Coturnix japonica: one gene and its partners. The protein of the gene in region 1 interacts with the protein of each later gene in a pairwise test. Links are inferred from orthologs where the notes say so. Each region holds a gene or a part of one and is shown in the gene's direction. Other genes may lie near its edges.

The links.
Region 2: the proteins of DMC1 (region 1) and PSMA3 interact in binary tests that used the Homo sapiens proteins (3 or more experiments, as listed by UniProt). The two-hybrid records come from large-scale screens. The link is inferred for Coturnix japonica from reciprocal best matches to the Homo sapiens genes DMC1 and PSMA3.
Region 3: the proteins of DMC1 (region 1) and KCTD17 interact in binary tests that used the Homo sapiens proteins (3 or more experiments, as listed by UniProt). The two-hybrid records come from large-scale screens. The link is inferred for Coturnix japonica from reciprocal best matches to the Homo sapiens genes DMC1 and KCTD17.

Annotation. Positions count from the first base shown.
Region 1 is NC_029516.1:46,410,497-46,414,151, forward strand, and holds part of DMC1 (meiotic recombination protein DMC1/LIM15 homolog), read left to right. Parts: intron 1-259; exon of another isoform or gene 260-392; intron 393-726; exon of another isoform or gene 727-959; intron 960-2,096; 5' UTR 2,097-2,130; coding exon 2,131-2,187; intron 2,188-2,819; coding exon 2,820-2,864; intron 2,865-3,655. UniProt on the Homo sapiens protein: Participates in meiotic recombination, specifically in homologous strand assimilation, which is required for the resolution of meiotic double-strand breaks.
Region 2 is NC_029520.1:50,256,454-50,259,028, reverse strand, and holds the end of PSMA3 (proteasome subunit alpha type-3), read left to right. Parts: intron 1-1,051; coding exon 1,052-1,119; intron 1,120-1,251; coding exon 1,252-1,316; intron 1,317-1,802; coding exon 1,803-1,847; 3' UTR 1,848-1,981; downstream 1,982-2,575. UniProt on the Homo sapiens protein: Component of the 20S core proteasome complex involved in the proteolytic degradation of most intracellular proteins. This complex plays numerous essential roles within the cell by associating with different regulatory particles.
Region 3 is NC_029516.1:47,002,622-47,006,376, reverse strand, and holds the start of KCTD17 (BTB/POZ domain-containing protein KCTD17), read left to right. Parts: upstream 1-1,057; 5' UTR 1,058-1,839; coding exon 1,840-2,049; intron 2,050-2,523; coding exon 2,524-2,632; intron 2,633-3,755. UniProt on the Homo sapiens protein: Substrate-adapter for CUL3-RING ubiquitin ligase complexes which mediates the ubiquitination and subsequent proteasomal degradation of TCHP, a protein involved in ciliogenesis down-regulation.

The DNA of each region.
Region 1 (3,655 bases):
ATGTGCACCCCAGCCTGGAGTAAAAGAATGCTTTGTGAAGGGATTCATCTTTAGGCTAAAGGACTGCCTGCCTAAGTGCTCTTCTGGAACAGCTCTAGTGGAATAATTCCGTTTTCAAAAGCTGTGCCAGCCAGTTCCTCTCTGCAGACAGAGCCTTAGGCACTAGGAATCCATGCACGGACATAAACTGTTCGATATTTCAATCGCTAGCAGTGCATGCACTCAGTGTTGTGCCGCGGGGGGGGGGTAAGGAACTGAGCATCACTGAGCATCACCACAGCCTCCATTGCCGCCATTCCCGGGGCGGGAAGGGCGGGCGCTGCCTCAGGAGGAGGCGCTGAGGGCGGCGCTGGGGCTGACGGTGGGTCGGTGGCTGTGGTAATTCGGCCGAGGTGTGCTGGGGATACACGGAGTCGGGGAGCAGGAAGGGCGTTTTATGGCTTGTATTAGAGATTCAACCTCGGCTCCAGTCGAGTGGGCTGCAATGTTTCTGTCAGCTCACGAATCGTTTATTAAACCCTGCACAGTGTGCTCAGGGCTGTCACACAGCCCACGTCTGCTCAGTGCAGAAGGCAGGCCGGCCTTGCTCCTGTACCCAACAAATAGCTCCTAGGCACTAGCTGAGAGCTCAGGGCACCCAAAAACGTATTTCTCCACAAAGGTCCTTATTTCTTGATGGACTTGCCATGTTTTCACACCTTCAGCCTCATGTCTGGTTCATTGCAGGCTGTGATGACTGGAATGCTCTGAGCCTTTGCCACACCAGCAACGGGAGGAGGATTTGGTTCATCCCTAAAGCTTCAGTTAGTGTGTGGTGTAACTCCTCTGTTGTTCCTCCCATCTACAGGAAGGCACAGGTCTGCAGCTGCCTGATTTTTCTGCTGGTAGGTGCCAGTCACCTCAGGTTGAGGAATAGGAGGTAGAACAGGGCCTGAACTGTGCTTAGAGTGCAGGATTAGGTGCGTTTCAGGAGGGTATTTTAAACAGAGGAGAGGGTTAAGATATGGCTCTAATACCTTTTGTGTTACTTGTTTTTCTTCCTTCAGTATTTGAAGCTCCGTGGGTTGAAAAATCTCTTCAATTATTTTTATTTTAATTTTATTACTTTATTGAAATTATTTTTTCTCTTGACATAAAGTATGAAGGCATGATTTCTCATTCTGTAATTGACAGGGTTTTGAAACAAAAGAAAATAGAATCACAGGATCATAGAATGGCTTGTAGGGAGGGACCCTAAGGATCATCAAGTTCCAGCCCCCCTGACCCAGGCTCTGAGCACCCTGATCTACTTGTAGGTGTCCCTGTGCATTGCAGGGGAGTTGGACCAGATGATCTCTTAGGATCCCCTCCAACTGATGGTTCTATGAATATGTAATTCTGTGATTCTTGTCAACAAATTATGCAGACCTTATGTATCTATTTGAAAGCTAGGGGGGGAAAAAAAGCTATTTGCAGAAATTTATTCTAACTTATCTCATCCTCTTTCAAATGTAGCTCATCTTGTAGGTTCACAGTAAACATCATATTCTTTTCACGGACTTTATTAAGGAGGATGAGTAAGCAAACATATACAATCTTGTGGATGAGACACTTGACAAAACTAGAGCAATGAAGGCAAGCTGGCAGTTAAGGCAGAAGCAACCTAACAATTTACAAAATGATAAAACTGGTACAGCAGGTTATGAAATCATATTTGTAAGGTCCTGTTCATTTTTTCCTGCAATCATGTAACTTAGAGTGGCAATGCTGTCCTTTTTATTTGTCAATGCTACTGCTTATGGAAATACATTCTACTAATGGTAAATCATTTTAAATGTTCCACCTCCAAATTCACACTGGGACCCAAGATTCTTACAAGGGATTGAGTTCTATTTTCTTAACACCAGTTAAACCTTTTCTAGGCAAATTAGTTCACTGGAGAATAACACTGTAGGTTTTTTCCTTTTGGAGAAAGAGTGGGATACGGAATCAGAGTTTAAATCCATATGTGATGACATAGTTAAATGGTGTGCAGTTTGAGGACATTTTAAAAGCTATTTTCCTGTTATTTGCACATTTATTATGGTCCCAATACTGTCTTTGCTTGCATTTCTCAGTACTGATCGATCCTTTATTGCCTGCTCTTTCACAATGAAGGCCATGGAGGATCAAGTAGTCCAAGAAGAATCTGGATACCAGGATGATGAGGTAAATGTATGGCTCTTTGAAAAACAGGTGCAGCAGATGTCTGAAGGTATTGTTACAGTGTACTGAAGCCCACAGAGAGACAGGAGGTCCCCAGAGACCACCAGGAAGTTCAATTCATTTAATATTTTGTTACAGTCTAATAGCAGGAAAATCTCTGAGTCAGAGTCCCTGTACAGTTGTGTTCTTCACATGCTCTTCATTAACCTTTCCTAAGCTATATACAGTTTCTAATGGAATTATCATTATTGCTTTATATATTTTACTTCAATATTAAATGCCAGAGGATTATCAGTTCATTTTAAGCTTCCAAGGAATGGTCATCAGCCAGAAAAGGCTGAAGAACAGCGAATGAAAGAGTCAAGATGTGATCCTAGCACAAGTTTATTAACACAGCAGAGAATTACTTGCCTGTGAAGATATATTCGATGAAGAAAGTGGTAGGAAATGTGTAGGCCTTCTTGGCTTACTCTGGGTTTTCTTATTTTGGTAGTTCAACAAGACAAGTGGTATTAGGGAAAACCATTTCAATGTTTACACATTTGAAACACATAGTGAGATAGATGTAATTTTAAGAAAAATAAAAACCTATTTTTGATTTATATATATATATTTTTATATATTTGTTGTTTTAGGAATCCTTTTTCCAGGACATTGACCTGCTACAAAAGCATGGGATTGTAAGTATTACCAATGACTTTTCTGCACAGTGCTGTCCATGTAAGTTTCTCCTCGCAGGAAATTCTAAATCAGTCCCTGTGAAGACAAATTTTGCCTTTGGTGATAAGACAGGTTTTCAAAATATCTCCTTCTCACTGGATTCCTAAATAAAGTGTCGAGATATTCAAAATATTTAGCACCCAGTACTTCTTGAAAAGCCAACTAGATGCTAACTCATATGAAAACCATGTGGGAGATCACTCCCTGTTCCTGCTGTTCTTTGTAATTATACCTGCCTTTTTGGTTCCCTTGAAGTTACGCTGTGGCAATTGGTGCTGAATTGTTTTTAGAATGTTGTTTAAGGGAGTAGAGTGTGGGGTGAACAAACTGTTAATAGCTGGAGAAGTAAGTGGAGAGTTTTTTCTTCAAATATGAATTGTTCTCATCATCAATGTTACTGTCACATGAATCTTAGCTTTTTCTTTGGATTACTGTTGTTATATATTTACCTAGGGGACTGATTCATGGGTCAGACTGTTCAGTGTTAGAAAAGCAAAATAAGAAGTTTGGTTTGCCTGAAGTAATTTCAAATTTAAGGTAAATGACTGTAGATGGATACAGTCAGGGTTGACACAGACACAGTGGGACAGTTACTGCACTCATCATGTCAGCACTGTAATTCTTGTTCACTTTCTTATTGACAATTCACTGTCAGGGTTTTAAAGAGTTCTGAGGAGGATAATGAGGTAATGGGCTGTAACGATGGCGCAGTATAAGAAAAATACACAAATGCTTGTGTTAAAAAGTAAAG
Region 2 (2,575 bases), on another chromosome or scaffold:
GGAAGTTCTTTACTGTGAGAGTGGTGAGGTGCTGGAACAGCTGCCCAGAGACGCTGTGGATGCCCCGTCCATCCCTGGAGGTGTTCAAGGCCAGGCTGGATGGGGCCCTGGGCAGCCTGGGCTGGTATCAATGTGGAGGTTGGTGGCCCTGCATGTGGTGGGGGTTGGAGCTTCAAGGTCCTTGAGGTCCCTTCCAACCCAAGCCAGTCTATGGTCTCTTCAAATAAATACAAGTATCCTTTCGGCTGTTTCCAGTACTTAATGCTTACAGGGATACTTCTGCACTTGTCACAAATCTAATAATATGCAGCTACAGAAATAATTTCCAGCCTTTTATGGCTGTTCCTTAGAGGTTATAAAGAAGTAATAAATGTTTCCATCAATGGTGTTGCAGCATGTGAGTTTATTTATGTGGCTGTGTCAGAGGCTATCATGTTAGCTGCTAAAGGAAAGAATGTGTGGGCTCTCTGCTCCTGAAACATAACAAGGACCTCAAAACGACTCTGAAACTGCACAAACAAAGCACAAGGCTGTAAGTTGTTGTAGGCTTAGCAGATGGGATGGAGAGCTCTACGTACAGGTTGTGTATTAGCAGTTGTGTTTAGATTTAGTTTCAAGTATAAGATGAAACAAGATTTACAGGGGAAATGCAGGGAGCTCCTGCCACACTGTGACTGATTGAGCAGAAGCAGGCAATGATGTCATAGCCTTGGTTCTACAGTACTGGAATCTTAAATAACATTTATTGTAAAGGTGATGTTCTGTATTGGGTTACTCAGCATCTCACCTACGTGGGTACCTTGCATCTTATCTGTAATCATGCAACACACTGTTTTAGTAATGCTTTACTCCACAATATGCCCTGATAGACTCTTTTCCTCTTGAAATGGGATGAGCACAAAGGAGAGGTTGAAGAGAAAGCAGGAGGGGAAGCTTCTATTACATGTAGGAAATGGTGTTTCAACAGAGTAAGAGATGTGTGAAAGGAAGAAATTATAATTTGCCTGTCAATAAATCTGTTCTAACCTCCACCCTCTCCCTTTCTTTCCAGAATCTACATCGTTCATGATGAAGTAAAGGATAAAGCTTTTGAGTTGGAACTCAGCTGGGTTGGAGAAAGTAATGCATTTCTACCTTTCTGTCAACAGTAGAGAAAGCTTCTCATTTTCTGTATTGAACATGCAGAAGCAGTGTTTTACTTATCGCACCGTGCTGTGTGAATTCTAATAGGTACTTCTTTTTTGTTTGCAGTAACCAATGGAAAACATGAAATTGTTCCCAAAGACATAAGAGAAGAAGCAGAAAAATATGCCAAGGTAAGGTCTGACATCACTGCTGTCATCTCAGTGTTGCTCTTGGCAAGTCTGGAATAGAATGAATGAAGTAAGGAGCAGGATTGTAGCACTATAATGACTGGAAAAGGGATGGGTACATTAATCACTTGTAGCCAGGATGTCTCCTGATGAGAGAATTGGGAAGTTCCCTCCATGCAATCCACAGACAGTTCTTACATTTAAAAAGCATGGCATCAAGCTTCCCTACCTCTCATTTCTTTTATTAATGCCTCAGTCATTACATAAGTGGATGGGAAATGCAGTAAGTCGCGTTACCTTTAAAGCAGGTATTTTAGTTAACCAGCTGGATAAAGCTGCTCCCCCAGCATTTGCTTTGAAAGCAGTAGTGGTGCCAGGTTTTAAGTTCTTAAGTAGTTTAGTTCTTCAGTAGAAACAAGGCCTGCTCAATAGCGGCCTTTGTGTATGTAGAGAAAATAGTAAAACAAAACTCTTTTTTTTTTTTAATAGGAATCTTTGAAAGAGGAGGATGAATCAGATGATGAAAATATGTAACACATTGTTACTTCAAGACAAGTTTGACTTAGTACAGGTTTGTTTATAATGTATTACCCATGGGACGCTCCTTTGTACATGCTGGAGGAGACTGAGTGACCAACTTGCACTAATAAATTTTCCATTTTACTGTCTGTTAGATTTCATTTCAAAATAAGTTAGGATCAATTTAGAATACAGAATGCTTTGTATTCTAAACTGTACATCAAAACAGGCCTTAAGATGGAAAGGTGTCATCATGCTGGTGTAGATGCTTCTTACTACAGCAGAACTTTTGAATCAGGCTGGGCCTAGGAAGACATGTTATCAGTTTAGGTGATATGTGCAGCTGCCAACTACAACCAGCTTCCAGGAAAGCACTTTAATTAACAGTTCTGCTGTCTCAGGCTTAAGCCTGGGCTAAGAGTCAAGCCACATGGAATGCTTGCCTTTCCAGCTAAGCACAGATGTCAAACTGCTACAGCTCTCTATCAGGCAGCTTCCTTGAGTGCTGTCCCCAGAGGCAACCATATAGCAACTGCACCTGAATCAGGCTTTAGTTCTGTCTTGCATTCAGTGTGAGTTTACTACTGAAGCTTATTGCCTATTCAACTCTTCTGAGTCAGTGAAAGCCAATCAGTAAACTGATCTCAGCCTAAAGCACCTGCTGAGGACTGATCTTTCACTTGCTTTAATGTGACAAAATGACTCCTTGATTCCAAACCTGAAACCTTGCTCACAAACTGCTA
Region 3 (3,755 bases), about 590 kb from region 1:
TTGGTGACAGTCTGAGCATCCTTGATGTCTTCTGCTGCTCAGAGGAGAGTGGTCCAGGGGCTGGGGATTAATTTATTAATGGACCTGCTCAATGCAAATAGGAAAATAAATAAATAAAAAAAGAATTACTCTCTCCCTATTAATAGTCACCATAGAGCTGGCAAGCTCTCAATGTAAATTAAAGGAGACCCTGCAGCAGATGATTTGTTCATGTGCTTAAATTAAACTGGAGGTCAGCAATTTCAAAACCTTTTCCTTGTTACCTTTGCTTTCCCCCCTCTGCTTTGCATTCCTGCACTGAAGGAGCAAAGTGCAGTTATACCATCTTTGTGAAGAGAATTCTGGGTAACTGGGGGGAAGGGTGATGCTATGCTCACGTTCTGTGATGATAAAAGGGAGTGATTTTTAAGCGCAAGAAAAGAGAGGATGAGGAAAAGAAATGTGAGTAAAGCACGATCTTTGTCTTTTTTCCACCCCCTCTCCCCCAGTAACTCCCGCCTGGAAAGACCCAAGATCTAGGTGAAAGAACGAAGCGTCCACAGGGCAAACGGCGTTCCTGCAGTGCTGCATTGCCCTGGCAAGGAGGAGCCACGGAGTTGTTTCAGGTGAAGGAAGACTTTGGGCCACATTCAGGTGAAGCGTCAGCTTTTCCTTTTCATCCCCAATGTGCCTGAGCTGCTGGCAAGCACAATTGTGTTTCAGAGGGAGAGGAAAAAGCAGAGCTGCTGGAGAAATAACTTATTCAGGTCATGTCCATGCCAAGGAGTGCATTTGAATGGAGTCCCATGGGTATGAGCTGCCGAGCTCCATGCTTGACTTGGCAGGAGGAGTGGCAGAGGCAGGGCTGTGCTCAGCAAGGAGCAATTGACACATTGGTATCAGCATGCGGTATGCCTGAGGCAGAGGTGAAGATCCATGCAGGGCAGGGTTAAAATCTGAGCTCTTTGCAGCCAAGACAACATCAGAGCTGGGAAATAGCTGGTGGTCTCTGGAATGGTTTGTGACTGTAGAACCATACAGGGAGGAGGGGGGTGGGGTTGGGGGGAGGGGAGAAGGGGAACATTTGCTGAATCAGTGACTCTTCTGAGTCAGAAGAAAAATTGTTCCTGCCCCCCTGCCAGCACTTCGTGCAGATCCAAGATACCGTTCCCAGAAGAGTCCCTACATATGTTAGCAAGAAGACAACTGCCTGCACATTTTGCAGCAAGAACAGTGTAGCAACTGATGCAGCGCTGTGCTGTGAGCCTGGGGTAATGTATCTCCTGGAGGGAAAGCTGCGGAGAGCAGTGCTGATGGGCTTAGTCTGCTGACTGCCAGAGATCAGAGACCTTCTTTCTGACTCCAGGGACGCTTGCCTGCTAGATTTGCAACTCAAAGCAAGCAAATGATTAGCTGTAGTTTCAGGGTAATGTATTACAGCATCCCCTTGTGTGGGGACAGCAGGCTGGAAAAACTACAGTTCCCAGCACCCTTTTGTGCACATCCCTGCAAACTACAGTTCCCAGAACCTTTTCATGAGCCGGGGAGGGAGGGTGTACGTGGAAGTAATTGCTGAGGAATTTTGCATCGCTCCCCATACTTTCAAAGTGCTGCCCAGCCCTCGGTTAGTGAAAACCGAAACGGAGGAAAAGCCAAGGAGCGTTGAGACAGTGGTTTTACCCACCCCTAATAACTGCAGCACTAAGCATCCTTCTCGCCCTGGAGTCTCCCTGGGCAGACGCAGGGAGGATTCTTGCCCCTAAGGGAAACACGGCTGCTGCGGAAGGAGAGCAGACTAACTACAGATCCCAGCATTCCCTGGCAGGCAGCACCTGCGGCAGTCCCTGCGTGCCAGGGGGGATGAGGATGTGGATGGAGGGCGGGGAAGAGATGAAGGGCGCAATGGGGCTACGCTGCGGCTGGGACCCACCCCCCATTGATGCCCAGGCCAAGTGGGTGAGGCTCAATGTGGGGGGCACCGTCTTCCTTACCACCAGGCAGACCCTGTGCCGGGAGCAGAAATCTTTCCTGTGTCGCTTGTGCCAGGGCGAGGAGCTGCAATCGGATCGGGTAAGGCAGCTGTATTGCCTCCTGCACCATGCCCTTCTGAGCACGGGGAGGGCTGCAGGGCTGGAGTCAGATCCCAACAGCTGTAGGAATAACCCAGAGAAAAATACCTTCATTTTCTCCCCTTATCCTAGCGAGAAACTTCTCTTGCCAGATACTTCCTGGCTGTGTTGTAGCCCAGTCCCCTGCACCCCTGCTGCTCCATCACCGTGTATACCCTGAGGGTACTCCCCAGATGTAGCAGCCTGACTCAACCCTTTTTTCACTTCGAGGGATTTCAGCTTCCTCACACCAGGCCTGTACTTATAGTTGCAGGAGCCTGAGGTCATGCTGAGATGGACATTCTGAGCATAATAATGCAGGAGTTAATATCTGAGTGAAACTGTCTTGGCTATAGTCTATTATAGAGATGTTGCAGGTAGGTGCAGGTCAAGATACCCCGTGCTTTTCATCTCATGGTCTACCTCTTGTTGATAGGATGAGACTGGTGCATATCTAATAGACCGGGACCCTACTTACTTTGGGCCCATCCTGAATTTCCTCCGCCATGGGAAGCTGGTCCTGGATAAAGATATGGCTGAAGAGGGTGAGTCTTGGAGCTCAGAAACTTACCACTTAACCATTGCTGGAGCAGCACAGTAGGGTTTGTAGTTGACCTCCTTGTCTTTTGTTATCCTTCTGAAGATTGGTGTGGGAGATTTGAGAAGGCCATCCTTGCAGCTCTTGGAAAGCATGTTTCCTTCTCTAAGTGGGAATGGAGCAGGTGGAGAAGGGATCCTGCATATATTGAGTCCTTATGGCTGTTAGTTGAGCAAAGGTGTCACGGAGATGGAAGCAGACTAGGTCTCTCATCCATGAAAAACTGTTTTATTACCTGTTCCTGATACACTTTTAACCAGGCTTTGTGACTGAGGTTTGTACTAATGACTGAGTGTTTCTAATTAGGAGTGAAAACCCAGAAGACCAAACAGACCAACTGACTGTAATAAACCCCATAATTAATCAGTGACACGTAATGTATGCTAATAGTGCTCTGATGGGTTGTGGACTGCAGCAATTCCAGTGGAGCAAGCCAAACAAACCAATCCCTCATTTGATGTTGACAGGGAGTCCAATAGGATAACTCAGTAACATCATCATGGTGTTACGAGCCAGCGATCCCCAGTGCCTCATTATTTTTTGGATGTTAGGGACTAACAAGCAGCCAATTTCAAAGACAGGCTGTGCTGTCCAGCCCTTGCCAAGCACAGTTTCTGCAGGTTCATTAGCCTTCTTGCCTCCCTTACATATTTTTACCAAGGAGTGTTTTATTCAGAATCATTTTATGACTTATAATGCAAAAAATATATATCTAAGAAATAGTACAGAATTGTAATAAACACCATTCAGAGATGTTTCTTACTTATCATTGGTTGTCACCCTCGTGTCAGACAGAGTTCAGCCGAGGCTTTTAACACCAGATCTGAAACGTAAACAGGAGTTCTTGTTCTGTTCACAGCTTTCTTTTGCTCCTGCCACAGGACAGGCTGGCATGAAACCAACCTGTTAGAGGGTATGGCTGAATGGCTGAATGAGGGACTTATTCTGAGTTCTCAGGTAGAGAAGGATCAAACCCATACCAGCATTGTCTGCACGCTGATCTGGGTACCCATGAATGTCGGTTCCTGGCCTCCTTCCCCTCACTAACCCACTGAGAACTCACCTCCCTT